Linked DNA regions of Arabidopsis thaliana. The protein of the gene in region 2 interacts with the protein of the main gene of each other region in a pairwise test. Each region holds a gene or a part of one and is shown on either strand. Other genes may lie near its edges. The genes, in order: AT2G24040, PTR4 and SUT2.

The links.
Region 1: the proteins of PTR4 (region 2) and AT2G24040 interact in a protein complementation assay, tested with the Arabidopsis thaliana proteins (one large-scale study listed by BioGRID).
Region 3: the proteins of PTR4 (region 2) and SUT2 interact in a protein complementation assay, tested with the Arabidopsis thaliana proteins (one large-scale study listed by BioGRID).

The regions. Positions count from the first base shown.
Region 1 is NC_003071.7:10,219,490-10,229,148, forward strand, and holds AT2G24040 (Low temperature and salt responsive protein family), read left to right. Parts: upstream 1-4,367; 5' UTR 4,368-4,538; coding exon 4,539-4,628; intron 4,629-4,904; coding exon 4,905-5,042; 3' UTR 5,043-5,258; coding exon of another isoform or gene 5,259-5,324; 3' UTR 5,325-5,682; downstream 5,683-9,659. Other genes in the region: AT2G24030 (zinc ion binding / nucleic acid binding protein), read right to left, coding at 694-1,395, 1,505-1,639, 1,729-2,144, 2,407-2,521; eIFiso4G2 (MIF4G domain-containing protein / MA3 domain-containing protein), read right to left, coding at 6,011-7,033, 7,125-7,718, 7,796-7,883, 7,977-8,074, 8,156-8,287, 8,375-8,476, 8,554-8,613, 8,821-8,967.
Region 2 is NC_003071.7:473,197-483,644, forward strand, and holds PTR4 (Major facilitator superfamily protein), read left to right. Parts: upstream 1-5,780; 5' UTR 5,781-5,920; coding exon 5,921-5,977; intron 5,978-6,051; coding exon 6,052-6,154; intron 6,155-6,255; coding exon 6,256-6,473; intron 6,474-6,552; coding exon 6,553-7,039; intron 7,040-7,133; coding exon of another isoform or gene 7,134-7,162; coding exon 7,163-7,935; 3' UTR 7,936-7,989; downstream 7,990-10,448. Other genes in the region: GAD4 (glutamate decarboxylase 4), read right to left, coding at 1,179-1,646, 1,812-1,864, 1,967-2,220, 2,307-2,521, 2,622-3,027, 3,214-3,455; AT2G02023 (uncharacterized protein), read right to left, coding at 8,271-8,582; AT2G02026 (uncharacterized protein), read left to right, coding at 8,711-8,890; AT2G02030 (F-box family protein), read left to right, coding at 9,139-9,209, 9,700-10,448.
Region 3 is NC_003071.7:823,824-836,564, reverse strand, and holds SUT2 (sucrose transporter 2), read left to right. Parts: upstream 1-3,945; 5' UTR 3,946-4,268; coding exon 4,269-4,535; intron 4,536-5,043; coding exon 5,044-5,109; intron 5,110-5,256; coding exon 5,257-5,355; intron 5,356-5,456; coding exon 5,457-5,521; intron 5,522-5,614; coding exon 5,615-5,699; intron 5,700-5,791; coding exon 5,792-5,825; intron 5,826-5,934; coding exon 5,935-6,034; intron 6,035-6,139; coding exon 6,140-6,215; intron 6,216-6,498; coding exon 6,499-6,837; intron 6,838-6,965; coding exon 6,966-7,109; intron 7,110-7,206; coding exon 7,207-7,440; intron 7,441-7,531; coding exon 7,532-7,595; intron 7,596-7,691; coding exon 7,692-7,735; intron 7,736-7,851; coding exon 7,852-8,019; 3' UTR 8,020-8,286; downstream 8,287-12,741. Other genes in the region: ARPN (plantacyanin), read left to right, coding at 8,845-9,034, 9,736-9,935. UniProt on the Arabidopsis thaliana protein: Responsible for the transport of sucrose into the cell, with the concomitant uptake of protons (symport system). Can also transport maltose at a lesser rate. May also transport biotin.

The DNA.
Region 1 (9,659 bases), 9.7 Mb from region 2:
TACACTTTCAGTACGAAATTGAGTGATCAAACGTAAAATGTTCTTACATCAGATATTGATTCGATTTTCGAAAAATTCAATTTCTAGTATAGATGAAACTTTATCAGAGATTGTAACATGCTTCATTAAACCAAAAAAAAAAAAAAACATGCTACAATAGAACCATCTTTCGTGGTTCTATGTATGGGACATGGTCATATGTGTTGTGGTCTTGTGGAGCTGTATTGCGAGAAGAACTATTGATTGATTGTGGAGTTGTCTATATACCCTCTATGTATAGAGAGACTCACCCCAAACATTTGAAATACCTCTAGGCAAACCATTTTGGGCCTCTCCTGAAAGAAGACATTTATCATCGTATCATGTCCAAACAAACATACTCTGCTTGTACAGTTGTAAGTTTGTAAAACATATGATAAAAGCATAAGACAACACACACTCCAAAATGCAATCATGATCTATACACTTATTCTGGTCTCTCTAATGGCATTGGTTATTATTCTCATGATTCTCAATCTCACAACAAAAAAAACATCATGCAAATCTCCTACTGTCACATTGCATAAGAAAAAATAAAAATAAATTCATGAATTCAATCTCTGATTCCTCATGGTATATTGTCATGACCTAACAAAGGTTTTTTTGGTAAAAAAAGTTGATATAAAATAATCTAACAAAGTTACAAAGAATCTTCTATGACTTCTCCAAGCAATGAACCTTACCTTGTGTATCATCCATTGCTAGAGATACTGATTCTTTCTGTCCTGGATCAGCATTCAGAGATCTCACTGGGACTGTAATGAGTTTATTCTGCTGTTTCTCAAGCAAAGCCATGTGTTTTTTCCCAAGCGTATGATTCCTCATCGTCTGCTCAGAATTCGTCTGAATATTACAAGTTTTGCACCAAACCGTTTCCTTCTTTTTCTTCTCACCTTTTGTCTTCTTTCCCGTTGTTTCTTTCGCCGCAATTTCATCTACTTTTTGACCCTGCGGATTAGCATTTTCACATACTCTAATGGCTTCTGGTTGCGGTGCTGTAACGGAAGCAGGGGATAAGGAGGTTGAAGCAGCTTCAGGTGTCTCATTCTGTTGTGTAACAGCAGCCTTATGCTTTTTACCTAACTCATGATCCCTCATGACTATTTGACAATAGGTCCCAACTTTACAAATCTCACACCAAAACTTCTGGTTAGTTCTTAGCTTACCTTCTGCTTTCTTTCCACTGCCAAGTTTCCCTGAACAAGGAACCTTCGAAGAGACTATTTCTCCGGTTTCCAAAGACATCGCCTTTGCTTCTGATTCTTTTGCTTTCGGCCTTTTCACTTGAAGATCTTCGTTCAAACCAGTTTGAATATCCTCTGCTTTACGCTTTTCTCCTACAGGATCAGCTCTAGCCTGCAATAGTAATCAAAGAGAACACATATGGTCAGGATTTGTTATAAGCAAGTAAGGAAAGTACGTGGATAGAAAAGATGAGATATCACACTCGTAGTAAAACACTTACCAATACAATAAACTGCTCTTTGTTAGACTCCAAAACTGATGTTCCTGTAGCCTCAGGCATTTGCTGAAGTTTAGGCAATTGCATGGTACCAACACTGTCTGCTTTAGGCTTAGCTCCTATAATATCAGCTCTATTCTGCAATAGAGAAATCAAAGAGAACACATATGAAACAAAGGCTTATATATACTCTATCATTTATGTTTACCATTACTTAAAGAACTCACCAATACAATCAAATTCTCTTTATTAGACTCCAACATTGATGTTCCGGTAGCTTCAGACATTTGCTGAAGTTGAGGCAATTGCATCATTGGTGATGTAAGTAGACTGTTGTAAGAGCCTGTGTTGATCAGAGAATCAATGTAACTATACTTCTGTCTGAAAAAGTTGTTGAACTGATTCTGATTTTGATTTGGAAGCTTCCTTTGATTGATCCACATAGTTAGCTTTTCCTCTAGAGACATCTCCGTGTCTGAAACTCGTCGTATCGCCATTTCTCTCTCGATAGCCATCTCTTGTAAAACCTCAGCTATAAGCTCTCGTTTTCTCGCTGCTTCTGCGATAATGATCTCTTGACGGATTTGTTCTTTCTCAATTTCTCGTTTGATCGCTTCCCGAACTTGATCCTCACTTTGTTGTCCTACGAAAAAGGTTCATAATCACTTCACATTTCGACATGAGAAGATTCATAAACTTCAGATTTTTCACACAGATTTCAATTTCGTGAAATCAAAACATGAAAAAACAAACACTCAAAATTTACGTTACAGAAACTAAACAGGTCTCAACAAATCAACTCCTATAGACAATCGCATCACCAAACAAAATACGAAAAGTGCAGAATCATAACAATGTTCTCTGTCGGGGATGGATAAAAAATACGATGCACAGACAGTACAAACCTGGCATTGATCGTTCCGACAAGAAAGGAAAGTTCGGTTTCAGCGACGGAGATGGTGTCGTGTCCGTCGCAGGAGGTGGGCGATTATTATCGATGGCTCTGTATCTGAATTCCATCGAATTCAAAATTTGGAGAGAGAGCGGAGAAAGAGGGTTATCGTTTGTAATCGCTTTTACCTTCTGGTCGGTCACTTTTCTTAAATAACAGGGATAGCTTTTTTTTTTCTGTTTTTTCCCTTTTTTCTTTCACTGTTGTGAATCTTGTGATAATATCAAGAGATTTTTTAAAAACAATATGGAATTTAATCATATGCAATACTTAGCAAATTTGGTTACTAATTTATTAGAGATTTGACCTGTGATAAGATTTAAATATATTTCTATTTTCCTTAAAAACTTGTTTTATTGAAAATTTTAAATTACATTATGTGATCAATCTTTGACGGATTTTTCTATATAAAATTACAAATTTATTAGGGATTTGATTTGTGTAGTGGCGTTTCAAACAAAAATTTAAAATAAATGTATTTTAGATTAAAAAAATTATGTTAAAGGGAGTTTTAATATTTTAAGAGATTACAATTATTACATTATATGCGTGTTCAATTTTTGGCGGATTTCTCTATGTAAAGTTACTAATTTACTAGGGATTTGGTTTATGTGGAACCAAAAACAAGTTTTAAATTTTAGTCAATGTATTGTAGATGGTAATTATGCTAATATTTTTTTTAATCTTTCAAGGGCTTTAATCAAATTCAAAAACTTTGTTCAATCTTTATCTTTTTGTAACTTTGTAGAGGTTTGACCCGCATTATTCAAATTCAAACAGATTCTTAAAACAAAATCTTACAAAAATTCTATACTTTGAAACATTCAACCAAATTTTAAAATCGTGTTCAACTTTCGATTTGTCTATATAAGATTACTAACTTACTAGGGATTTGACTTGTGAAGTGAGAATTTCAAACGATTTTTAAAATTTAGGTTAATGTATTTTAGGTGGTTGAACAATTATCTTTAATTTATGGAGATGATTTTCTGCCTACCAATATATCACCGATTAAAATTCTCACATATGATTACTATTAAGCTAAGCGGCAAAATCATTGGCGTCCCGAAAAAAGTAGTATTCTCTCTGTTTCATAAGTTTGGTATTGTAGGTTTTTTACACAAATTAAAAAAGGTATTTTTTATACTTTTTGATTATTATTTTGTCTTGTTTAATAATATTAATTCTATTTCTCTGTTTTCTCTATTAATCACAGCTAAAAGTAATAATAATGTTATACAAACCATCAATTTTTTGTGAAAAAAAACCTACAACATCAAACTTCATGCAACAGAAGAAATATATAATAAGTTCTAGCGATTAGTTCAAGCCGCTTAACTCGCATCATAACAATGACATATTTTCATTTTAAACTCAGTTAATAATGATTGGAGTGTCCTATATTCTTTAAAAAGTGTAGTATGTCTTTTCATATTCGAACAACTAGGGTGTTATTCGTTTTATTATTTGAATGGTGCATCTCGATTATGCATCCAAATATTGTAATCTAGAGGATGCTTCCGGCTGTTGTTTGTTTATATATTTGGTTCTTCATATGGATTCCCTATCTTGATGTAACTTTGTTTGTTTTTCTTTTGTATTTGTTAATTTACATTCACATCGATGTATTTAATATCAAAATGACTAAATTGTGCATGTGTTAAATTTAATGATATCTTAATAATCTTAACTGTATTTACAACTAAAAAAATTTCAAATTTTTCTTGGCACAATTATAATCCAAGATAATGCAATGTAGCTCATCTAGTAATATCATTTATCAGCTGGAATGAGATTAAATAATGAAAGAGTATGGTAAGTGAAGCCATACCAAAGCTCCCGTGAGTCAACCAATAAACAGACGTCATACGTCAATACCCAAAAAGATATCAACAACGAACCGTAGGATATAATAAATCCCGCAAAATAAACGGTTAAAGATCTCGCGGTACACTCTGTATCTTAATTATTAAGATTCACGTCGCTGGACACAACACCTACTATATTTGTGGTTGTTTGTTTCGTGAAGCTTCTCTCTTCTTCTCTTTTTCAAGTCATCAAATCTGATCTAATCTCCGTAAATTAATGGCGAGTAGTTGCGAGCTTTGCTGCGAGATCTTCATCGCAATTCTTCTTCCTCCTGTCGGAGTTTGTCTCAGGCATGGCTGTTGCACTGTAAGTTTCATCTCTCTCTATCGATCTCTGAACTTTCACAGCTTCTTATTTCAGAAATCGAAACCGTAGTTGAAATTGAATTGATTACGGTTATTTAAATTGAAATTGGTTGCACTCCGGTTTACGGGAACCAATCAATATGATGAATGTGGAGATCAATTACTGAAAATATAATTGTGGTGTTTTTGTTAAAAAGAAACACTAATTAAGGGACTAAAAAATAAAATTTTTAAATTTTGTTTTTCCTAACTCATGTTTTTTTGGTTTAACTTGTAGGTTGAGTTCTTCATTTGTTTGATACTGACTTGCTTAGGCTACTTACCAGGAATAATATACGCAATTTACGCAATTTGTTTCTTGCACCGCGATGAGTATTTTGATGAATACAGACGCCCAATCTACTATGTTGCTTGACCTCTTGATTGATTCTTGCTCTTGAGCACACATATTGTACTTTAAAGTGTAATTTACTTGTATCCTGGAGATAATAATACCATTTTTTTTTAAGACACAGGTATTGTGGTTTATTTTACTATATACTTTGATGAATGATGAATGCATAATGCCCAATTACTATTTGCCTATGGAGCCCTCATATTAAAGGTCAGTATCTATCGCGCTATGATACAGCTAAAGAAATTAGCTCAGCAGTCACTGAAGTGGAAGAGGAAAAAGAAAACACTGTTTTTTCTCTGAACAGTGAAGAAGACAAAGACACTTGGTGAAGAAACAGAGACTGACAGTGATTCTGAATTCAAGATGACTAAGACGACAATACCAAAAACAGGAAGAAAAGTTTAAAACCATTGTTAGCTATTGCATCACTTGAAGACTTCACACTTCTTTTCTCTTCTTTCCTGTTTTGCTTTGCTAAGTTGTTTCCAGGAAAGAAGAAAGAAGAAGTTGTGGAGTCTTTTGATGAAGATAGTGACAGTGATTACTATATTTACCCTAGTCCATTCGATATTGAAGAGAATTCCAACAGTGAGGAATACAATCAAATCTTCATTGTTATATGTTACCCTAGTCCTAATACATACTATATTTATATAATGGTAGTACCATACTTACCATTACCCTGAGTGAGTTTCAACGATGATTGAAATTGAATTAAGGCATCCCACAATTAATTAGATTATTAATGTCAAAGACAAAAATTGTGTAGGCACTAAGAATAAGATAACAATCAACAAATTGTGTTTTTTTTTCTCCTCACCCTGAAATGTTCAAAACTCAAGATGAACGAAAAAAACAAAGATGTAACAAAACTGAACCAAATCTTCCAAGTATGTGATATTAACTCAAAACTTATATAAGAAAAATGATTCAGACTACTCCTCAAGTAAACATTTTAAGACTTTGCCGGCCAAACCAATTTACTTTTAGAGCAAACTCTGGCATGCCTCAACTTCAACCGCCTGCGAATCCAATACAGACTGTCCCGATGGACACTCGCGAACACTCTTTATCACTGCATTGAGTACGGTTTTTCTGAACCACTCATCTTCCATCTTCTTCAGAACATCTCTCACCAGCTCGAAATCCAAGACTTTAGCTGAGACCAACTCCCCTAAGAACTCTCCGAAGCTGTTTGGTGCTTTTGGCAGATCGATTCCAATGTCATCCAACATGGAACCGTAGAGCAAACAACCTGCCCCTAAGTCTTTAGATGTCAGCACATTCTTAGAGATCAGATGTTTCAAGAGTTTGGCAATTGGTTCAACCAATGGTGGGTTTTTCTCTAGACCGAGCGAGATTGTTTCCTTGACGAGCTCCGGGTGGTAAGATGGAGATTTTAGTTCCTCAACGCATTGCAATGCCTCATCCACTAAACGAATACTGAAATACTCTTCAAGAAGCGACTTGGTTTTTCTCTCGAGCTCTCCTGCGTTCAGGCTATTAGCCAGAGGAGCTGCCTGTGGCTGTGGCTGAGGTTGAGACCGTGGTTGCGGCTTCTCAACAGTTGGAATGGGTTTAGAGGCTTGAGGAGCTGAGCTAGAACCGTTACCTTGCAAAAGAGGGCTTGGCCTACCACCACCATTGAGGAGACCTCCGCTACCCTGAGGAAGAAGCCTTGAGTTGACTGAGAGTGACTTGTTGATAGCAGGAGGTGGCTGAAAACGCGGCTGCTGCACTGTTTGTCTATTGCCTCTGGGCATGGACCGGGTCCGTGCCATTTCCCAGCCGTCTTCATCCATAGGCATCACCCTAGTTCCCGGCATGCCGGGCATCATTCCTCCAGTACCAGGACGGCCAAGGATATTTCCCAAGCCCATACCGTCTGCTGCACCAGAAACCGCAGCGCGGTTGTTGTTGTTGTTTCTCATACTTGCCATTGCACCCGGACGCATCCCAAGATTTCTCTCTGCCTCAGAATGGATTTCATTGATTTTCTTCGCTTTCACCTGCCATTGAATAAGTACAACAACACGTAAGCACGGATAAAGAACTAAAGACTGTTATTAAAAGATTTGAGATGGAATGATAAAATCTTACCTCCTCACGCCTTGGTACCCATTTATTAGCTCGAAGATCAACAACGTTTTGGACCATAAATCTGAGACGCAGCTCTAGCTGAGGGTGCCTTGCTAGCTCCTTCAACCGACCAAAGTACGTGTCATTAATACCTCGAGATCGTGGGCTGTCATCAAGTTGCTTCCCAATGGTTATAAAAAATTGGCAGAGAGCTTCAACATCTCCCTCTGCTGGGCAAGCTTTAGTATCGTCTCCTAAAAGCTCCTGAACAATATGATGAACTATCTTCTCAGGCACCATCTTTTGCTTGAGAAGTTCACCAATCAGACGGATATTTCCAAGTGTCCGGAGCTTTGCCATTTTCTCCTTATCCATTCTTTCCATTTCTTGGTCTGGATTAGTCATCTGTCTGATCTCTTCCTTCAATTTGCCAGCACCTTCAAATGCCTCTTGGCAATTATTCAAAAGCACTCTTTTAAAGGTTATTTCTTTCCCACCGGGTTCCTCAGAGGGAAACGAAGGTAGCTGTCCGTTAATATCAAAACACAGAAGAGCATACATCTCGCAGAATGTGGGCTGCAGTATAGCATTCTCAAAAATTAGCTGTATCACTTCCTGCAATCAAAGGTAAGAGCAAATCAATACCATGAAAGAGAGAACTACAACAATAGAGATCAGGAATTGAAACAAACCTTTAGGATATCTGCGGAAGTGATGCCAGCGTCAATCAATTGACCTTTAAGAAGCTCGTACTTCTCCGGAGTAAGCTTGTTTAGAATACTGCATAAAATTGTAAAGAATCAGTCAGAATATACATCACATCAACCTTCAAACACAAAAGCTGAAAAGAATAGTATTAGTTGTTGACAATACCCTTTCACGCTCTTAACGACTCGATCTTTATCTGAAAGAGCTCCTCTTTTAGCTGACCACGGAACCTCCGCTTTAATCAGCACAGGGGTAGGACCAGACTGTTTCACAAGATGATCATGTTAGCAAGAAGAGAAAACTAGTAATGATATGCCAACACATAACAAGTGACGAAAACTTACCCCTTGCCATGTACTTTTGGCTTCACGAGGGTCGTCCCTTAACCATTCTTTACCAGAGGTTGGAATCTGAGAACGACTATGCCAGTCACGGTTATCAGTCTCGGTATGACGATGCTGAGTATGATTTGTTATCTAATAAGACCAAAACCAAGAATGAAAGTTTAAAAGACAGATTCCAAAACAGGAGGATTACACACACACACACAGACACACACTTACTTTACTCTCGGCTGCATGATTCCCCCAACTCTGCTCTTCGCCAAAAAGCTCAACTGCGATTTCCTTACAGCGTCTAAGAATTTCATCAGAGACTTGAACAGACTGCGATCAAGAAAACACAAAGGTGAATGATTTGGTTCACAAAGTCAAAAACAGAATCAGAGAATTAAGTTAAATACCTCTCTGTGCTGAAGTATCTCTTCTCGGGAAAACCTCACACGTTCACCAGAATTTTCTCTCTACAAAAACATAAAATGTCAAGAGCTTAGGATTCAATTACATAACATAAAGTATCAATCTTTGTCCATATTCAAATTCAACAACCCTAAAAATTCAAACTTTGTACAAAATTCGATTCAAAATCATGGAAACGAATCCAATCCTCGTTTAAACTCGAATTGCGAAACCAAATTGAAGAGAAACAGAGGATTTTTCAATGTATTTACCTTGACGGGAAAAGGGGTTTCTTCGGAGCCGCCATTGGTAAGATCAAAAGAGGAAGAGGAGCTAAAGCGAGGGACGAAAAGCCTGCTTTTGCCGCCGCCACCGCCGGGTCTCAAACTCAAAACCGATGGTTCACCTTGTTGTTGCATTACTCGATTCTCTTGTTTTTTCGCAATTAGAAGGATTCAATAAAAAAAAGTTTTGCAGATAGATAGAGGTATATAGTGTATATATATGTGTCTGTATTGACGGTGGAGAAGATAAAATCACTTCGATTCCCTTTTTTTTTTTGGCTGAAGCTGTGTTCTGTGGTTTGCCCTAATTTCCTTTTCTTCTTCTCACGTGTAAATGTTATTGTTAATTACGAAAATATTCTGTATATCAAAATAATTTTATTTATTGAAAAAGAATTGATGGAAAAATCTTACGAAATAAAGACTTAATATTGTTTTTAATGCATCATTATCAAAATACAAGTCTACTTTCACAGAATTAATTACCAAAGTATCCTCTGTCTATAATCTCCAACACAAAATAATTAATTTTTGGGAAAAATAATTGATGGAAAATCTTATGAAATGAAGACATAATTATTTTGTATTTATTGCATCACTATAAAAATAAAAATCTTTGTTGCATCATTAAAAGTGTTGTTGGCATGGCTCTTGCATGAGTTAAGTTAGTTAATTCAAAGATTACCTCTATCTATAAGTTATTTATTTTTGTTTCCTAAAATTATGAATTTTTAAGTAAATTTGACAAATATACATATGTATAATAATAAATATAGTTGGTTTATTAGATTATAATTTCTTAAAAAATAAAAAAATAACTTTATATG
Region 2 (10,448 bases):
TAACGAGAAGCAACATTTATGGGCTACTTTTAAAAATTATCTTAAAAGTGAATCATATTATATCATATTCAATAGAATACTAAAATGAAATCTCTCCAACTAAGTGTCTCATTATTAGTTTATTAATTTTCTAAATTTGTTTGCAAAACGAATAAGAATAATACTAATTAAGACTAAATTTATTGTTATAGACTGATATGTCTCTTTGCCAAAAAAAAGACTGATATGTCTAAAAGTGGCTTTAACAGATTTCTGAAATAATACTGCATAGAGTGCCACTTTATCACCTTTTTAAAACGATATTTGATTCTTAAACTGCAAATATACAACAAATAATTAAATGTATATATAATTGGTGGTGACAGCATTAAAGATAAAACAAAGTTGATCTTATTTTTATCAGTGAAAAGTGAAAACCAGTGCGGAATATTACCATGTTAAAGCATATGTATCGAATAAACAAACATATTTTAATAAGATAAAATGTCATCAAAAAATATACTATGTTTTTTCGTTGAAAAAAATTCAATTTTGTATCTGGTAAAATAAATGACTATTTTTTTAAAAATTTTTTTAATAAATGATAATTGATTTTGCTGATTTAGACACAACGTTAAGTCATAAAACAAAATGGTCATAGGATCCGGGACCGGTCCAACAGATTTTGATGCCTAAAGCATTTAAAATTCTTAAACATTTTTAGCCCATTTATAATTAAAAATCACAAAAACAAACGAAGGCAAGGTTCAAATCAAACCGTTCACCAAGGAGTCATTAACATATGAAATTCAATAAATTTGTGAATTTTTGTGAAAGAAATATAAATACTTATACCTTTACTTTTTTATAATAAATATTGAATTAATTCGTGATTCTAGAAACTTGTTAGTTTAATGGTTAATCCAATTATGTGTCATTGTGTGTTCTTTACACAGAAAAAAATGTTGGTGAAAACAAAAACGTTTTTACATACCCACAAAAATATATATATATATATTTTTCATTGATTTAGTGTATATCCATTAAAAATCACTCTCCATCAGCAATATCAAATCCCAAAACTTAACAAAAAGAAAAACAAAAAATAATCCAAACAGCAAAGAAAGAAAAAGGTCCATAATTATGGAGCGCAATTAAGGACAAAACAAATAATAATATTAGTTTATAAAATAATCTTATTAGCAAATTGTGTTCTTGTTGGTCTTCTTAGTCTCCAACAACTTCTTCCAGTAGGCCGTGACTTCTCTCTGCGTCTCCTCTGGCGTCTTCTTAACACCGTTAACTTTTCCATTAGCCATCTTGGCGTGAACCCTCGCCGGAAGCGTATCGAGCTCGTGTAGAACCTTCTCGAAATCAGCTACCAATCTCTCGGCTAAGGTTCGAGAGAAATCTTCTCGGATAACAACTCGAAGGACAGTGACATGCTGCGCATCCGCAGGCATCGTGTAGGCCGGAACGATCCAGCCGAAGCGACGGAGTGTATGGGCCACCTCGAACTCGTTGTGGCGGCTACTATCTTTGAGAGAAAACGCCACTAACGGAACACCGTTTTCTTTGGAGACGATTTTAAAACGTCCCGTTTTCTCTAATCCTTGTCTTAGTACCATCATGTTTTCCCGACAATTATCCATCACATTGCGATAACCCTAAATCAAACAAGAAAAACATTATTAATTACACAATACCAAAACTAGTCATGTTAGGAACGTTTAATTCAAAGTATAGTAACAAGTAACAACTTAAATATAATACATTCTAGTTTCTTTATTGACCATTTGGTAAATATATTGCTATTTTGAGTTATTATTTACCTCGAATCCAAGACGAATCAGCTGGTAGTACTGAGCAATCACTTGACTTGAACCTGGTTTATACAAGCATTATCAAATGTTTAGTCTATAAAACAATTCCATACACCAAAAATATTATTGAAAGTTATATATGTTATGGACTTATGGTAATGTACCTTTGGAGAAGTTGAGTGTAAAGGTTGGTTGATCAGCGCCAAGATAATTGATATGGAAGATAAGTTCATCAGGCAAATCGGTTTTGGTTCTCCATACAACCCAACCAATACCGGCGTAAACCAAACCGTATTTGTGACCACTCACATTAATACTCTTAACCAACGGTAGCCGGAAATCCCACTCCAGCTCCGGATACAAGAACGGAGCAATAAACCCACCACTCGCTGCGTCCACGTGTATTGGCGTGTCCCATCTGCAAATTGTGTTTTAGAACGTTAAAACCGGACTCCAAACCGATTACAATCGATATTAGCTTGTTTCTCGGTTTGGTTTAATTACCCGGTTTGCTTGTTTTTCTCGACAAGGAGGTCGTTGAGGAGCTTAACGTCTTCGAATTCACCGGTTAACGTTGAACCGAGGATGGCAGCGACACAAATTGTGTTTTCGTCTACCATTTCGACCGCCTTTACAGGGTCCATCACGTAATAGTCTTCTCTTAGGTTCACTTCCTTAAGCTCCACTTCGAAATACCTTGCGAATTTCTCCCAGCAAACCTGTATTGAACCGGAAATTGAGTCACACATATAACTTAACCGGATTGATAAATTCAATTTTGTCTTGGTTAATATTTCATCAATTTTTGTTTTGGTTTACCTGGACATTAGCACCGGTTACGATATTGGGCTTATCATAAGGAAGCCCTTGGGCCTTACGCTTATTCTGCCATTGTCTCTTAAAAGCCAAACCGGCCAACATAATCGCCTCCGACGATCCGACGGTGCCAACACCAACGGCAGCTTCACCGTCACCAAGCGGCGCGTTGAAGAGACGTGCTATCATGTTAACACATCGGTTCTGAAGCTCAGTGGTGACAGGGTACTCGTCCATGTCGACGTAGTTCTTGTTGATGGACTCCATCATGAGCTTGTCACATTCTGGCTCCATCCATGTGGTCACGAAGGAAGCTAGGTTCAGCCTTGGGTTACCATCGAGCATTAGCTCGTCGTTGATGATTTGGTAAGCTGCTTCTTTTGGGATTGAGTTCTCAGGCATTTCGAATCTAATGATGAAATGATGATACATTAAGTTAAAATAACGAAACATGTCCTTCCTTATAGTATATAACACATAATAAATCTACAACATTAACCACGGCCAAAAAAAAAACTATCCAAGGTTTACATCATTACATGTTACTATTGTTGACGAAAACATTAGACAAAAGATTTGTGTTACAAGTTGTTACCGTGGAAGAGAGTTGCGGACGTAACGAGAAGCAAAAGTTGAATGGATTGAGACATCAGATTCGGAAACTGTCTTAGACAAAACCATGTCTTCTTTCAACTTCGAACTTTGATTTTTGGGTTTGAAATGAACAAGAGGAAAGAATGTGTAGTAGTGTTTTTGTTTTGTAGTTGAAGAAGAATGTGTGGAATTAGAGGAAGAGGAGCAAATGGTATATATAGTAGAGAGAATGTGTCTCTTCATTTCGTGTTTTGCATCGTGAAAGGAAGCATCGCTGGTCCTTATTTATGTGCTCCTTTTTCAAACCTTTTCCTTACCAATGACTTTTCCTCATTATAATATTTAGACCAATGAATTACTAACTTTTAGAAACACGAATACTTTTATTACTATCGTATACAAATTCCGACCGTCATCTTTTTATTGGATCTTTCTAAGTTATCGTGAACATTTTATTAGTGATTTTGATTTTGTTTATTTAGCATCTCCCGCGATTTGATCAATTTCACACTTACATAATTATGTGAATATTACAAACGCGTTACGCGTAAAATGTGAATATAGTACTAGATTATATTGTTTTCGTGATTCCTTTTTGCTGTCAATGGAATTTATACCAATAAGCTAGAAACCAAATTCGAACTTATATTGGTATCACCACTAAAGGACATTGACTTTTTGTTGTAAGATCTCATATTACCATCTCTAAAGTATAAAAATTCAAATAAACATCAAACCCATGGTCTGACCTAATTAAACAAATAAAGTTAGGCGATTTATCAAACCTCCCACATGTTTAGACTAGCTTTAGAATAGCCCTAGCTTGGGTTAATTTTGTTGAAAACTAGAATCCACTAGCCCTAGCTTGGGTTAATTACGTTGAATACTACAGCTTGATCAGCATTGTTTCTAGATTACCTTTTTTTTTTTTTTTTCAATTGTACATAGGATTTACTTATATTTTCGAATGGATACATGAAACAAGAATACTTCATCATATATGTTTATATTTTTTAAAAAATCAGATTTTATAGACAATTCTATTTTGACTATTCAGGATATTATTAAATACAGTTTTCATTTTCTTTATCTATCTTGTTTTTATTTTTTGACTGAAGGACTTGTCAGTAACAAAAGTAAAACAACAGGTTTGTTATATCTTGTTTTTTTTTGTCTCCCCCAAATGATTTTCAGAAATAAAAATATTTGTGAGTGGCACTCATACGTAATTAAGAGGCAGGGAATGGGGCATAACTGGCAGTAAGAAACAAAAGAAGAAAAATAGTAAAAGTCAAAAGTCGACCCATCAGTCACTCTCTAACGCGTTAGTCAATGGGAACCGGCAAATGGAGACCGAGACGCCACTCGCCGAACCGGCAATTATGGGTAACCGCCACCGGTTTACTTCTCTAAAGTTCTGACTTTCCTTAATTATTGCAACACGAATTTTGAAATGGCCAATTAATACATGCTCTGTTCGGTTTTGTTTGTACTAGTCAACTATTAGCGACCGAATTATTGACTATTCAATAGTTCAACGTTAAATTATTAAGGACAATTCAAAACTATTCCTTTCATATTCAACATTTTTATTTAGAGACAAAATCACCAATCCATAATTTAATTTATTTATTTATTAATCATTTAAGCGGTTCGAAAACTATATCACTAAAATCAATTGGTAAACCAATAAATTACAAAACGATCATGATTTACTAGAGCTTCTCGTTTTTGAGGTTGAAGACTGTTGGTCTCCCAAAAAAAAAAAATCAATTTACCCCAAAACTATTTTTATTTTGCATTAATTAATTATTATCATAAAACTTTATTAACACCATAAATTGCATTTGGTGCTTCAAAAAATAAAATAGTATTTATTTACTTAATTCCTTACCAAATATTTTATATCCAAGTTGTGGAGGTCATAAAATTGGCCCAACAAGTACAAATTAGGAAACCCACTAATATTTAAAGCCCAATAGGTCCACTCAATTTTGCAATTTCTTAAAACGTGTTGTTAACAAGAACACATTTTATGGTCCAGTGGTCACCGCCACCAACTTCTCGACTTCGAGAGAGACAAGAGTAATCCAACGATCTGGTTGATAGTGGTAACACTGTTCCAATGAGCATTTTTTGGCATATCCCTCAATATATCTTTATTGGGAACATCTAGCGTTTTGTTCTTTCTTAGTCGGCTTGATTTTTTCTATGAACAATCTCTAGATGCAAAATTTGTGTAGTGCTTGGACTCTTCACTCGGCTCATTGATTCTTACACTTGTTGCATATTTCACGACAATGAACCTTAGTAACGGTCATCTTGATTACTATTTTTGGCTTTTGGTCTGTCTTGGCTTTGTTAATTTACCGGTTTGGCTAGAAAGGTTTCGTAAGATTTGTTTGATGTCTTCTTTAAAACTTGAAGTCTCTAACTTGTTTGATAACTTTTGTTGTGTTAGGGGAAAAGTGTGCTATGGCTCAAAATTTGCTTAATGCTTAAGTCTAATCAGATTAATAAAGTTTGTGTGGTTTTATATTCCCTCTTTTTTTTTATAACATTTTTTAAAGAATGTGGTTCTGTGGTGAGTGACCACTCACACCACCAACAACAACTTGGTCAGTGGGAGGATCATTTTATTTGATCCTTCGTTGAGAAGCTTAAATCAGCTTTACGTGAAAATTGTCATGTTGAGGAGAAAGTAAAAAATGGCTTCCATTGATGAAGAAAGGTCACTTCTTGAAGTTGAAGAATCTCTTATACAGGTTCAACCTCATTGTCATTGTTTCTTTAGTGTTTTGGGGTCTAAATCTTTGTTGACTAATTCGTTTTTCTCCAGGAAGAAGTAAAATTATATGCTGAAGATGGTTCAATAGATATTCATGGAAACCCACCATTGAAGCAGACAACAGGAAACTGGAAAGCTTGTCCATTCATTTTTGGTAAACACTTTGTTTTATTTCACTTGTAATGTACTTGTTGTATTCTCTCATGTTCTGTCTTTAATCTCCAAAAACTGATATCTATGCTTTGGTTGGTGCAGCAAACGAATGCTGCGAACGGTTGGCTTATTATGGAATTGCCAAGAATCTCATCACGTACTTCACAAATGAATTGCATGAGACTAATGTTTCTGCTGCTAGACACGTCATGACATGGCAAGGAACATGTTACATCACTCCTCTTATTGGAGCTTTAATAGCTGATGCTTACTGGGGAAGATATTGGACTATTGCTTGTTTCTCTGCCATTTATTTCACCGTAAGCATTTTCTTGAAAAATAACTTTGCTTTATGTTCTGTTCTTGGCTTGATGTTCTGTTCTTTGATGTTGTTTTAAGGGAATGGTTGCATTGACACTCTCAGCTTCAGTTCCGGGTCTTAAGCCAGCGGAATGCATTGGCTCTCTATGTCCACCAGCAACAATGGTTCAGTCTACGGTTTTATTTTCAGGGCTTTACCTTATCGCTCTTGGCACTGGAGGAATCAAACCATGTGTCTCATCCTTTGGTGCTGATCAGTTTGATAAGACCGATCCAAGCGAACGAGTCAGAAAAGCTTCTTTCTTTAACTGGTTTTACTTCACTATCAACATTGGTGCTTTTGTTTCATCTACTGTTCTAGTTTGGATTCAAGAGAATTATGGATGGGAATTAGGATTCTTGATACCTACCGTGTTCATGGGACTTGCTACTATGAGTTTCTTCTTTGGCACGCCGCTTTATAGATTTCAGAAACCGAGAGGTAGCCCGATTACTAGCGTCTGCCAAGTTCTTGTAGCCGCATACCGTAAATCGAATCTCAAGGTCCCTGAAGACTCCACGGACGGTTACAAGAAAATCTTTTTCCCTCTCATTTCTTGTTTGAATTGAGCATTAGTCTATTAACGGTTAAATAAACGGGTTGTGATATCAATGTACAGGTTTCTTGACAAAGCGGCAATTATATCAGAAGGAGATGCAAACACTAACCCGTGGAAGCTATGTACCGTGACTCAAGTCGAAGAAGTTAAGATTCTGTTACGTTTGGTCCCCATTTGGGCCTCAGGAATCATCTTCTCAGTTCTCCATTCACAGATTTACACTCTCTTTGTTCAACAAGGACGGTGCATGAAACGAACCATCGGCTTATTCGAAATCCCTCCCGCAACTCTCGGGATGTTCGACACTGCAAGTGTTCTCATATCTGTCCCAATCTATGACCGCGTCATCGTTCCCTTAGTGAGACGGTTCACAGGCTTAGCTAAAGGATTCACCGAGCTACAAAGAATGGGGATTGGTCTTTTTGTCTCTGTTTTGAGCTTGACATTTGCAGCTATCGTTGAGACGGTTCGGTTACAGTTAGCTAGAGATCTTGATCTAGTGGAAAGTGGAGACATTGTTCCATTAAACATCTTTTGGCAAATCCCTCAGTACTTTTTAATGGGCACTGCTGGAGTTTTCTTCTTTGTTGGGAGGATTGAGTTTTTCTATGAGCAATCTCCAGATTCAATGAGAAGCTTGTGTAGTGCTTGGGCTCTTCTCACTACTACACTAGGAAACTACTTGAGCTCGTTGATCATTACCCTTGTGGCGTATTTGAGCGGAAAAGATTGTTGGATTCCTTCAGACAACATTAACAATGGACATCTTGATTACTTCTTCTGGCTTTTGGTCAGTCTTGGATCTGTTAACATACCTGTTTTTGTCTTCTTCTCTGTGAAATATACTCATATGAAGGTTTGATCTCTTCTTCTGGCTCTTGTGTGTACTTTCAAAATTGTTTTTTTTTAAACCAGCAAATCAGTTATATTAAATCATAACGGTTTACATGATACATACAACAACCATTCAAATATAACTATTGAAACAAATAAAGGAAATTGAACACAATTTTGATGAAGAAGTGTAAGTGACCCTGCTTTCGAAACGGAAGCCTTACAGGCAACAAAATAAATCTGTTAAGTCCTCTCATCATACACTCGCAAAAAGCTAACATCTTATAGATGAAACTCCTAAATGCTTTCTGCATTACTTTAATAAAACGAAGAATTTGGTAAGTTGCTCGAAATGGTTCTGAATCATGCTTTTTGAAACGCTCTGCACCGGTTAATGACTATGGATTTTCCTTTTACAAGACTCACTAACGGATTCAATCCATTAGTTTTCATTTTCTCTTGCGCCAATTTGTCAAATCTTCGAAGACATAATATTCCCGGAACCCATATTCGTCGACCGAAGCACCAGTTGTGAGGAAGAGTCGCTACGAGCCTCATTTGATCTTCGGCTAAAACCTCTTGCAACGGTTCACTAGGAAGCGCACCAGAGTCAATCGAAGATTGGCAATGTATTGCCAAATTGACATCGCAATGGGATGTTCCCATCACAGACATAAAAGATGCTTAGCGGATCCGTCGAACAACTTCTCCACACCGGCATCGAAATAGAAATTTACCGTTCCCATGAAGAGAAGGAGGCAAAGAAATCGGCTCCATTGTAATGGAAACCATAAGAAAATTTTATGAAAGAGAGACATGGCAGTTACTATGAAATGATTAAACCGCACCAAGAGAGAAGAGAACAACGCACTGGTCGTATGTTTGATGCAACATACGTTGGTGATGGTGCCCATGATGTTTGCGACAAGATCTGCTTCTTCATGGTGATGATGGTCACAACAAGTTATGTTAATCTTGCTTGACGACGGATCGTGATTTGTTCGAGACAGGCCCGTCTCTGGGGGTGGCAAGGTAGGCAAATGCCTAGGGTTACTAACTAATTTCAAAAAAATTGTTAAGACTAAAAGGCCCCAATATTTCAAAAAAAAAAATTTACTAAGAAATTTTATTTTATTTTGGGTTTTGCCATAGGTCCCATAATGAATTGAGCCGGGAGACTGTTTGGTCAGTTTCGTCACGACAGATTTTGGACAACCCAACCAATGGTGTAATGAGTGGCAAAACCAGTTCTCGCGGCCAACAAGATGAGATATCCGGCGAAAAACATGAACCGACACCAACGTAAGGAGAAGAGAGAGAAAGACGATAATCGCCAAAATAATCACTCACAAATTTGTTTTTATTTTATTTTAGGGGAATTTAGTTAAATTTTGAATTATTATAGTTCTTGGATTCAGAAGTTATTTACGTCAATCTAAGATTTGAGTTAATCTAGGCAAATCTTAGTATTATTTACTATGTAAATGAATTACATTATTCCAATTAGAGATTTGTTCTAACAATTTTGTAGTTATTTTAATCTTAAAAGTTTGAGGCTTTGAGCCATGGATAATAACGGAAAACAATTCTCAAATAAAAAAATAACAAAGAAACATTAAACTATATAGATATATACATCATAATTCACGTTGATTCCAGCCACTCTTTATGACGGTTACAAAGAAAATATGGAAACAGAACTTATAAATTCAGCGCACATTGAATTTCACAAGAGTCAGAAGAAATCGATGGAGAAACTCCTTACGATCAAATAAGTTTCTTTGTCCGCAAGAAAAGAAATCAAACGAAGAAGAAAAGAGTTTGAGAAGATCCATATACCTAACGAAATCGTCGAAGAAATCTTGGTGAGGCTGCCGGTGAAATCGCTCACGAGATTTCAAACTGTGTCAAAACACTGGAGAACTCTGATCACGTCGAAGTATTTCGGAAAAAGACACATGGCTCTTGAGAAAAGCAAAGGATGCAAACTCCTTTTTGTTTGTGATGATTTTGTAGATCGTGCAGAGGACACTCTGTTTTTAAAAACAGTTGCCTTGGAGAAGACGTCAGTTTCTGAGGGAGATGAACAAGCTTTCGAATTCGAAGGATATAAGGGGTTTCTCGATATTTCCGAGAGCTGTGATGGCCTTGTCTGCTTCTACGACACTACAAGAGCAGTGGAAGTAATGAATCCGGCCACAACAATGTTCATAGAACTCCCTCTATCGAGAATCCAACAGCTTTGTATATACAAGCCAAACCCGGAGGTGGAGCTGGAGCCAGTTCAAGATCCAAATCCTGTTCTAGACCCAGTCATGACATGTTCTCAGATTGGAGTTGGGAAAGACAGCGTTAGTGGAAGTTATAAACTAGTATGGATGTATAATACTTCTCCTGCTACTCCTCCTACGTGCGAGGTTTTGGATTTAGATGGAAAAAAATGGAGGTTCGTGAATACTACTTCTCTTGATCATCATCAGATCTTGTGCGATCAGAGGCCGGTGTTTGCAAACGGATCACTCTACTGGCTCACGGGAGATG
Region 3 (12,741 bases), 350 kb from region 2:
TGTTTTTTATATTTCTATCACTTTATTATTCAAACTGTCAAAATGTTACCAGTTATATATAATTTTTAACCTCATTATAGTATCATACTGTCATCTTTTATCACTAATTTTTACTGTTTTTAACCTTCTGTTTTCTAACCATCTTCTCCAAAAAAAAACCTGAAGAGTAATTAGCTGAGATTGCTAATTTAATGTGATACTATTTTTGATAAGATGGTATTTTCTATGACTGAAGGCAATCAAAATTGTAGATTACCTGAAAATAACAAATGTGTTTGTCTAGCCAATCGATTAATACATATACAACTATTTTCATGTAAAATTTATTATATGTGAGTATTATTTGTTAATTTTTTGAGGAGAGACTTATTTACTTAAAGTACATTTAACATCATATACCTAAGTTTTACATCAAATAAATACACATTTATAAAGTATATAACGCGGGTAACCAAAATAAATTATCCTCTAATTGTTGGCTTAGCGCTAAACATTTTTTAAACGTTTAATTGTTGGCTTAGCAATACGTTTAACATTATGTGGTTCCGTTAACGATCGATTAACTGTTTTTTATACTGTATATATTTTCAACGAATTGTACGGGAAAGAGAATATTTGTTAGATCAGGTTCACTGGAACAAGTAAGAATACGAGAAAGCTGGCGACGAGTAATCTAGGGCCATGAAACATGTGACTATGCACGTGAGGCTGTCTATACATTATCATGTCACTATTATGATGTTTTTACATGTTAAGTACGTTTATTATTACTATTTCAACAAGTGCCATTACTGGTTAATAGCATTTGTGTATAACTGCAGAACTACTGATCAGGTCAATTTCCCTTTGCGAAATTTATGCACCAATGAAATTTGCCATGATCAAATCTAATGTTTAATTTTTGTTATTGATATGATCTTATAAAGTAAAAATTAAAGGATCGACACAATTTGATTACATATCGTGCCACTATAGGCTTTGACCATCGAACGAGGCCATTCTTATCCAATCAAGAACGTAACAGGCACGTGTGGGTTGTGTGAGAGTAAGTCTTATATGTCCCATGGGAAGTATTATTGGACGGTGCATGCTAAAGTGATTTTACGACTAATCCAAGATCCATCTTTTAAACCAATCTAACTTTATTTACTGTAGCTAGTCAATATTATCTTCCTAATGTCTCGTTCGTTATAACTTACACGAAACCGTATTATCCCATGACATTCACGAAACAATTGTTCGACAAAAACAAAGGCATGATGTCGAGAACCATAAACAACTATAGTACTCTTTTTTTCTTCATATATTTCAAAAAACAAAGCTAATGTTTCATCTACCATTAACCTAAAAACGTATTGTCATCTATTAATATGTCTCTTGAATTTGATCACATGTTGTTTGCGATAGCACATAGTCTCGATGTCCGGTCAACGAGACGATGTTCAGGGGATGATGCATTTTTGACTCAACTTTGTTATAATTGGACGTAGCTTCCGAACTTAATTAGTCGAGTTAAGGTTTCGCATATACTCCGTTCTATATGAACACTCTATATATGCACAAATCGGACCCAAAAAAAAGCAAGATGATGTATTGGTTTTGTTGGGACAATTAAATGACACAAAGATTTTAGAAAAAAAACCATTACAAATATATGCACAAACCATTGTTGCTTTTTTAAAAAATAGTCCACTTTTTAAATGATTTAATGAAGTGAGTGGATATAAGAGTTCGTAAAAGAGCTGTCTCCACGTGACGTGATTCTTTTTTATTTCTTCACGTTCTTTCCACATTTCTATCTTTCAATATCGATGGTTACATTCTCAATAATGATTAATGACCATTATAATTTTTCTTTATCAACTTTAATGGAGTTATTATGTGAAACAGTGTAAGCCCCATTCTTATGTATATATGTAAATATCACATTATAAATTATGATCTATCGACAGAGAACGACAAAATTGCCAACCAATCACTAAGTTAGAAAATTAAATTTATTGTAATAACGCATCTCTTTTTTTTTTTTTAAACATATAGTTTTTATATTATTAATATTTGAATTTGTCGTTTGAGAAATGACGAAGGAGTTATTTTCAGGCGTAAGCATTTGACGTGCTCGACGTTAAGGAGATGACGTGTTAAGTTATGGTACATATGTTTTTTTCTCTTTTATTTGGGTCATAGCCGCGTTCAACACGTGCTTTTTGTCAAATGTAATTACATGATTAAACTAAAAAAACTTATTACTGTTTTTCAATCAACTTATTAACCTTGATCTTTTTTATAACAAAATAAAAATAAAAATTGGCACATGATCAAATCATCAATCTCAAATAAGATAAAACCAAAGGTGTAATAAGGTTCATTTTTTTGTGGAGAAACCGAGTCAATGCTACCAAATTGCCTATATAGGCTTGAATTTTATGTAAATGCTTTTTTGAATGGAATAATCCGATTTTTTATTTTATTTTTTCTTATGTAAAATTATAACATGGTATAGATAAAAAATTTGTTTTGTAATAAGTGATATTTGGTCTAACGGCGCGTATGTATAGTTCTTTTACAAAAGTGAGTAATAGTGGTTTTCTGGTTCAAATACTATTGAGAATGGTATCAGTTTTGATGGACAACAAGTGTATGAGACTCGGCTATAACTTCTCAATTAACCATTAACCATTAAAGAATACAAAATTTGGATTTTCGACTATACTTTGGTTCGGATACATCATACATGCATGCACACCATAACAACTAAACTCAAAAGGATTTGTTTTTGAACTTTTGATGATAAGAAAAAGAAAAAAAAGATGGGACATAAGAGTCATGTACACGTGGATAAGGAAAGGAGAAGAGAGGGACAAGGGAAGAGATGGAGAAAGAGAGACGTAAGTATTAATTCAATTGTGTGCCCTATTAGCTTTCATTTTCCACAAGCAAGAATAATATTAATAATTATGTATCATCTTTGCATTTTTGTACCAATACATGATACATTTGTTAGGCACACGTCTTTTTCCTTTTTCCTCCTTTTTATTTCTAACTTTCTTCCTTTTATTCGTTTAATCCGGCTCTATCACGTTAACACACATATATGTTATATCATCTTTTTACAAACATGTTTACATTAGTTATTAGAAAATACATATACTTGTAATAGTGACATTGGTAAGAAGAACTCTATCACCTTCACAATCACACACATATATGTTATATAATCTTTTTACAAACATGTTTACATTAGTTATTAGAAAATACATATACTTGTAAATAGTGACATTGGTAAGAAGAAAAAAACACTATTAAATAGTGAAAAAATGTTTATAACTCTCTTAATTAACATTACTTATTATTGCTAGCACCTAAAATCTCCCACAAAATATTTGTTGTAAAACACAAATTTACAAAATGATTTTGTTTTTAAATTAGTAACACATGTTCATATATACGTTAATAAGAACATACCCTATATGATTTTATATAAAAAAATTTCTTTGAGACGTCTTATCCTTTTTTCTTTAATAATATGCAATTGTGAGAGTTTGGATTTGAATGGTAGCATTAGAAGCAAACTTGAACCAAACATATTTCATGAAGTCAAACTTGAACCAATGTAATCACTAATCACAGTGTTCGCAGTGTAAGGCATCAGAAAATAGAAGAAGGGACATAGCTATGAATCATATAATCTTGACACATGTTTTATAGGTTTTAGGTGTGTATGCTAACAAAAAATGAGACAGCTTTCTTCTAATAGACTTAATATTTGGGCTAAATGTACCACAGTTGTGAATTTCTTACAAAAATGGGCCGAGCTACAAAAAACTACAGGCCCACTCTCAACTCTTATCAAACGACACCGTTTTACTTTTTTAAAAGCACACACTTTTTGTTTGGTGTCGGTGACGGTGAGTTTCGTCCGCTCTTCCTTTAAATTGAAGCAACGGTTTTGATCCGATCAAATCCAACGGTGCTGATTACACAAAGCCCGAGACGAAAACGTTGACTATTAAGTTAGGTTTTAATCTCATCCGTTAATCTACAAATCAACGGTTCCCTGTAAAACGAATCTTCCTTCCTTCTTCACTTCCGCGTCTTCTCTCTCAATCACCTCAAAAAAATCGATTTCATCAAAATATTCACCCGCCCGAATTTGACTCTCCGATCATCGTCTCCGAATCTAGATCGACGAGATCAAAACCCTAGAAATCTAAATCGGAATGAGAAATTGATTTTGATACGAATTAGGGATCTGTGTGTTGAGGACGATGAGTGACTCGGTGTCGATCTCGGTTCCGTATAGGAATTTGAGGAAGGAAATTGAACTTGAGACGGTCACCAAGCATCGTCAAAACGAATCTGGTTCTTCGTCGTTCTCTGAATCTGCTTCTCCTTCGAATCATTCTGATTCGGCTGATGGTGAATCTGTGTCGAAGAATTGTAGTTTAGTGACGTTGGTTCTTAGTTGTACAGTTGCCGCTGGAGTTCAATTTGGTTGGGCATTGCAACTTTCTCTTCTTACTCCTTATATTCAGGTACTTACTATTACTCTTGTCATTGTTACCATTTCTATCACTTGTGGCTTTCTCTATAGCAATTTAGATTCGAGGGTTTTGTTCTTGTGTAGCTTTGTACGAGAAAGTCGAGTACTTTGTAGGTGAATCAATGAATTCTAATACTTAGGTTAGGTAGTTGTTGTCACCAACATAGCCATGAGATATTTTCGTATGGAACTCTATAGCATTGGCTTATCGAAGAGTATATGACATTGGAATTTAGCTAGATTGTTTATGTTCATTGGATTACATAAGCATTTGTAAAAATATAAAAGACCTTAGCCTTTTTCGGAACTATTGTATAATCAGAGATTAGACTGTGTTTAGAATAGTATTGTACTGGTCATATATGTATCAGGTGGGTAGTTATGGTGGTAGATAGAACTATTGTTAAATATCTGTTTGCTGGAAGTATTTTGATTTTCTTGTTGCTGAAGAACCCTTTTGAGTTTTATCTAACAGTGTTGCATTTGGTTGGTTGATGCAGACCCTTGGAATATCGCATGCTTTTTCTTCGTTTATTTGGCTGTGCGGCCCAATTACAGGCCTTGTGGTAGGTTAAAAGTTTCTTTAAGAATTTTAGCAGTTTTACTATCTTGCACGTAATGATCTCACGAGAGTTCAAGTTTTGATTTATATTGGATCAGAAACTATTTTTCTGCCCCATTTTGTTCATACTTATTTGTTTGTTGGGTTTTAGGTCCAGCCTTTTGTTGGCATTTGGAGTGATAAATGTACTTCAAAGTATGGAAGAAGACGACCATTTATTCTAGTTGGATCATTCATGATCTCAATAGCAGTAAGTGCCAATAGAAGATATGATTTCTGTTTTGATTTTCTTTTAGGAGATAGCTGGCTACATTGTGTTTTATATAAGCTAAACAAAAGCTTGCAATTTAGGTGATAATAATCGGATTTTCTGCAGACATTGGGTATCTGTTAGGAGATTCAAAGGAACATTGCAGGTAACTCTCCTGCTCCCCTGCCAATGGCATGTTTTTTATGGAATGTATCAAAATTAAAGTAACTGACGACTTGATGTGTATCTTGAAATGCAGTACTTTCAAAGGCACACGAACCAGGGCAGCTGTTGTCTTTATCATTGGGTTTTGGTTGTTGGATCTAGCAAACAATACAGTACAGGTTCAGATCTGCCTCTGCAATGTACTTGAGTGAATGGTACTAGTCATTACCTCTGTATCCAGGAATGATGTTTTCGGCTTTTTTATTTTCAGGGACCTGCTCGTGCTCTTCTAGCTGATCTATCAGGTAATAATGGAATATAACCATACACTTAACAGAACAGAATTTCTATTCAAACTCTAGAATCAGATTGAATATGCTGTGCTTCTAATGAGATGTCTCTTGCTGTCCCTAGGTCCTGATCAGCGGAATACTGCAAATGCTGTGTTCTGCTTGTGGATGGCTATTGGGAACATCCTTGGGTTTTCTGCCGGTGCTAGCGGAAAATGGCAAGAGTAATCTTTGAGATCCTTATTCTCAAAATCTTGTATTCTTTTTCCTCATTTGCAATTTTGCATTTTCCGCCAGCTGTTAAATGATCAGGCAATTTTACTGCGCAGATGGTTCCCTTTTTTAACTAGTAGAGCATGTTGTGCTGCATGTGGAAATCTCAAAGCAGCGTTTCTTCTTGCAGTGGTAAGCAGTATGTTTAATTTTCTGACACATGCATCTTACTAAGCTTTCTAAATTGCAATGGAATGGGCTGGTCTTTACGAAACACTCTCACGTTTGTACATTGTGACTTGTGATTCATATATGTCGCAAATCAATGCGTTCTGTTTGTATGTCTATATTATTTTTGAGGTGATTTTGAAAGTGAAATTATATTATTGCACCCAGTGGCTTTTGTTCTTGTTTCATAGTCTAAAATCTGAATATATTGTTCTATATGTTTTAAGAGTTTAAATCATTTTTTCAGGTCTTTCTCACTATATGTACTCTTGTCACAATCTATTTTGCTAAAGAGATTCCTTTTACAAGCAACAAGCCCACCCGCATACAAGATTCTGCACCTTTGTTGGATGATCTCCAGTCCAAAGGCCTTGAGCATTCAAAATTAAATAATGGTACTGCCAATGGAATCAAGTATGAGAGAGTGGAACGTGATACGGATGAACAGTTTGGCAATTCAGAGAATGAGCATCAAGATGAGACCTACGTTGATGGCCCTGGATCTGTTTTAGTGAATTTGCTAACTAGTTTAAGGCATTTGCCACCGGCTATGCACTCAGTTCTTATCGTCATGGCTCTTACATGGGTGAGTGCCAAAGAAAAATTATGATCAGTTATTACATATTTCACACTGTTTCTTTTCTTAAACTCTTTAATGATCTTTAAAATTATTTGCTTCTGTTATATTTTTGATTGTGGTCTTGTTCTTTGCAGTTATCCTGGTTCCCCTTCTTTCTGTTCGATACAGATTGGATGGGAAGAGAAGTTTACCATGGGGATCCAACAGGAGATAGTTTGCATATGGAACTCTATGATCAAGGTGTACGTGAAGGTGCACTTGGTTTGCTACTAAACTCTGTAAGAATCGTTATAATAACCTGTTTTTTAACTGCACTGCTCTTCAAAATTCAATTACTCGCCCGTTATTGAATATTCTTCTTCCCTGTTTCCGTAGGTTGTTCTTGGGATCAGCTCATTTCTCATTGAACCAATGTGTCAGCGGATGGGTGCTCGGGTTGTATGGGCTTTGAGCAATTTTACTGTATTTGCCTGCATGGCGGGAACAGCTGTAATCAGCTTGATGTCTCTCAGTGATGACAAAAATGGAATTGAATACATAATGCGTGGAAACGAAACAACAAGAACCGCAGCCGTAATCGTTTTTGCACTCCTTGGTTTTCCCCTAGCTGTATGTGCTTTCTTTCAACCGTAATTCTCTTTATTCTTTTCGTGTTGCAACATTTCTCTAAAATATGTGATAAAACCATTCTTTAATGCAGATCACATACAGTGTCCCTTTCTCTGTCACAGCAGAAGTCACTGCTGATTCCGGTGGCGGTCAAGGTCTGTGAAAAGATTCATATCTTCACTATATTCATAGTTTTTGTACTTAAATCTTAGATTTCAGTAATCCCTAATGGTTTCATTTCCTCACTCCAGGTTTGGCTATAGGAGTGTTGAATCTCGCAATCGTTATTCCCCAGGCAATCTCTCAAATCTAATTACACTGATAAATTTCATTCTCTTGTATAATGCCACTCACTTCGAGTGTAGTCTTGACCCGTAAATAGTGTCTGAATATGGTTTTGGCTCTAAACAGATGATAGTATCACTTGGAGCGGGTCCATGGGATCAATTGTTTGGAGGAGGAAACTTACCGGCGTTTGTTTTGGCGTCTGTTGCTGCTTTCGCTGCTGGAGTTATTGCATTGCAAAGGCTTCCCACGCTATCGAGTTCTTTCAAGTCCACCGGTTTCCACATCGGCTAAAATCTTTATACCACAGACATAAAATTCACAGTTAGATCTACCCGATTCTTTTTGACCACGTTCTCCTCTCGGCGTATATGTAAGTAGGTTTTGTACATCTAGTTTTCTTATATGTTATACACAGCAATGTGACTCTAAATTTACAGTACCTCTCTTCTCACGTAGAATATATCTTCGTTATTTTGAATCACTTTATATTTGTGTGTTCCTTTCCTCACAAATAGAAACTTGAAGCAACATATTCCAAACTCAATAGTCCAATCTAATAACACAATACTGTTGGTTCTTTAACCTATGATGTGTACGTTTTCCCAACATTACCATACTAATATAACAAAGCATTTCAATAAGAACACAAATTCAAACCTATTTTCGCCTATAAACTATGTACTAAAATCATAACCAAACTATATCTCCAATAGAAACAATGTGTCCATAAATAATAAATGCTCATATATCGTGGGTTGTTGATGACATAGTCTTTGTCCACAAGTTCCTTATTTAGTTGATATAAGCATTTTCAAAACAAAGAAACAAAATTCAACTTAGTGTAACAATGTCAAAACCAAACTCTTATCTTCAATAATGAGACAAAAGAAACCGAAGTTAAGTCTATAATCAATTTCTACATAGACAATGTGGCCAAAAATAATAAATGAACATATATCATGGGTTGTTGAGACACCCAATTTAATAAAATAAAAACATTGAATGTCTTATTTTCTTCTTCTTTAAAAACCCTTTGTACATTTACTCTTCAATTCATCCTCATTTACTCTCTATAGTTTCTCTCTCTTTCTCTAAACTTTCACCTAAGATCGATCAATGGCCAAGGGAAGAGGCAGTGCATCATGGTCGGCTCGAGCCATAGTGACTCTCATGGCTGTGTCAGTGTTGTTGCTTCAAGCTGACTACGTTCAAGCTGCAACGTACACGGTCGGTGACTCTGGTATCTGGACCTTTAACGCTGTGGGTTGGCCTAAAGGCAAACACTTTAGAGCCGGCGACGTTCTTGGTATATACTTCACATCCTTTTAATCAAGCTTCAGTAATTATTATACTATCTTGTTACACTTAAACCACAAGCAGTTAAGCTTTCTAATCTTCATATCCACTAGGGATGTATCCATATCATGGCTGCTTCTAAGTATGGGCAAGATGTGCTTTTGTATAAAGCACACGACAAATAAAAAACTTCCTATAGTTTAAAGGTTACAAATATGATTGATAAATGTTTTGCATACACAGTTTAAATAGTGTATATCTTTTACATGATTGAGCCTGTGATATATTTTACTATATTATAGATATGTATGTATACATCTTCCTTCTCCAAAATTTTTTTTCTAGTTTCGATTATTCACAAACGCTGATTTATGTGTATAGCAAAAATTCATGTGCGTTTAAATTTAACAAAAAATATTTTAAAATATCATAAATAGTACCACTAACCTAATTTTTAATTTATTTTGGTATACTTGAGTGATGAATTAAAATTGTTTTCGCATGAAGAAATATCTCAACCAACGTTATAGTATGTAGATTTATGAAATTCCTAAACAGTTCCAGCTACTTTATAATCTGAGTGTCAATATATGGAATCAATTAAGAGTGGTCGAGTAATCAATTATATGATTAACTAATTTAACGTTAGACCAAAAAAAAAAAATTATATGATTAACTTAAAATTTTATATTTTCCAAAACTTTGGTGCAGTGTTTAACTATAATCCGAGGATGCACAACGTAGTGAAGGTAGATAGCGGAAGTTACAACAACTGCAAAACACCGACAGGGGCAAAACCTTACACTTCAGGCAAAGATCGTATAACTTTGTCTAAAGGACAAAACTTTTTCATCTGCAATTTTCCAAACCATTGCGAAAGCGATATGAAAATCGCAGTCACCGCGGTTTGATCGAACATCTAGCAATGAAAATAGTTTGATAACTTGTTATGTTCTTAAGAAACTATTGAAGTATGCAATAAAACTCGTATCAAAACTTTTTTTGTTTTTCTTATGTTTTCTGAAAAGTATCCGGTGCGGTCTCTCTAGAGAACCAGAGTCGGTTTTGTAGTTTGGAAGATTCAAACGGACCTCTTATTATATTTATTATAATATAGTTATAAAAATATATTTCAAAAAATATATATACTGAAAATGATATAAAGAAAAAAGAATGAGGTTGCCAACCATAATAATGAAAAAAACAGAAATGGAAGTTTAATTTTGGGGAAAATTCCCAAAAAATAACTTTATTTATGTAAAATTTACTAGATTTTAACACACGGTACACCGAGAAGACAATTTTTTTTTATTTAAAATTAGTATATATAAAAGTTTGTAAATAATATCTATCTATAAAATATTTTTATTTTATAGTTTACAATTGTTATTAAGTAACGTCCTGCCAAACCCGTCCCGCCAAAACTGTCCCGTAAAAAAAACCTGCGGCACATCGCTAATTTAAATATATAATTAAAATAAATATTTTACCAGATTGCAATTTTATTTTGATTTGTCAAACAAATTTTTGTTTTAAATAGTTGCCAAAATCTAGGCTCATTTTAAGGGATTTTACGATACCACCGATTTTTTTTTGCATATTTTGTTTTAAATAATTTCAGAAACTCTAGTTCAAATTTTGGAAAATTAAGATTTAGTGAATAGATTAGAAATGTTTTTGTTGTGTGTTTGCTCATTTTAAGGGATCTACATATAACTTTTTTTGTTTGAGTGAATAGCTAAGGAATATTTTGCACATTTTAAGGGATTCGACAAATGTGCTATACACGTTAGTATTTAATAGGGTTGATTCGTTTAAAATATGTGTTCGTAGCCGCAAATAATTTAGTCGTTGGGAAGTTTTATTTTGAAGCCCAATAGCGGTGTACCGTTTGGCCCAAAAGAGTGATATGAAAATCACAACACGTATTAAAATCAAATGGCCCAAATCTTTGAAAGTTTCGAACGAATGGAGCTGGTCAGAGAACATCTTACCAAAAATTAATACAATTAATTAAATGCCAGTGGCAGCCACTGTAAATAAGTCCCAACTCCAGGATTTATTTTACAAAGTGGCTGCAAAAATGTATATGTAGATATAGAAAAAACCTCAACTTTTTTTTTTCCGGAACAAAACCCAAATTAATTTATTGGTAACAAATAAATCCGAACTATAAAATGTTTACAGATTCATACACTGAATCTCAAAAAAAAATAAAAAAAATCCAATGTTACTCTTAGAAGAAAAAAACATATTTATTTGTTCGAAATGAAAGTTTTGTCATACCACCTTGTAACATCTCTATCCCGTTATATAAAGATAGACGAAATTGGAGCGTCACGATAGACGTCCACAGTCGGCCAAACCCAGGTTTCCGAAACAAATTCGTTTGCCTGAGTCGTACCACCGCAAGTGTCTAGCCTCCCGTCTGTGGCCTAAGTTTTTTCAACCCGTACCGCGAATGCGAATTGTGTAAGTCGGACAAGACTAATATCAGTTGGTCTAACCATTTAACTTTTAGAAATTCGAGTCTTATTACATATATATCGTACGGAAAATGGGTACCAAATCGCATATAGTTTTCGGATCCTCTTTGAAAACCATACATAATATACTTAGTAAGTATTTGCAAAAAGCCATAAAACCTACATTGGTTCGTCCTAAGTCATTTGCGCCCTTTACAAGGCTGGCCAACTAAGATTTTCTGCAAAATAAGTAGCGTTATAAGTAATCTAGCATTACTTAGTGAACCTCGGATCTAGACAGAGTTAACCTACTACCCTTACCCCTAAGCAGCAATCAACACGTAATAATACTACGACTTAACATAAACAGATACGAGTAATACAAGCAACACATAATCAAAGATAACACGCAACATACAATACAAGTAAAACATTATGCACAATGCATAATACATGCAGACTCGAATTCCTAATATGCACAATGCATAATACATGCAGACTCGAATTCCTAATATGCAACGGAAAACTAATGCAAGCATGCTTCCGATAACTTAGGTAAGGCCTTCTACGAAACCATGCTATCCCGAGGCAATGGCCTACACACTCCTAGACACAAAGTCTAAAGAAAATTGCTATTCCTTATACTACATCGTCATGTAGCGCCCGGTCGGTAGCGAACCAGTCTGGAGCCTTTGTATGCCATAACGGAAGGAGTTACACGCGACGCACATCATATATATGGGATAACAAGATTCGGCTAATGCTAGTTGACTAACTAACATGACAATAAACTCATGAAATATCATGCATTCGATCCTACATGATAAATTCTACTAATCAAACAACTAATCGTACTTAAATACTAATAATCACGATTAGTCCCGCTAATCATAGTTTAACTAACACTAATCATGCTTAGTAAATACTAATCCTAATTAGCCATTACTAATCATAATTAACAATTACTAAATCTAATTAACTATCTTAATCTAGGATTAAGCAAACAATTAGGCTAAGTAATTATAATTAACCTCCTAAGCTAGATTAGGGAAATAAATGAAGAAAATATCCTATTCACGTGCTACTTCACGTGACTTGAGACTCACTTGGATTTCCCTAGCGGTTTAGGCTTCTGAAGGTTTCACCCGCGAACTAAGCTTTTCTAACGAGTTTTTTTTGGCCCAAGGAACAAATGAGCAGAGGGGGTATATATATGGGCGTTAGGTCGGCTAGGGAAAGCATGAGGTGGCCC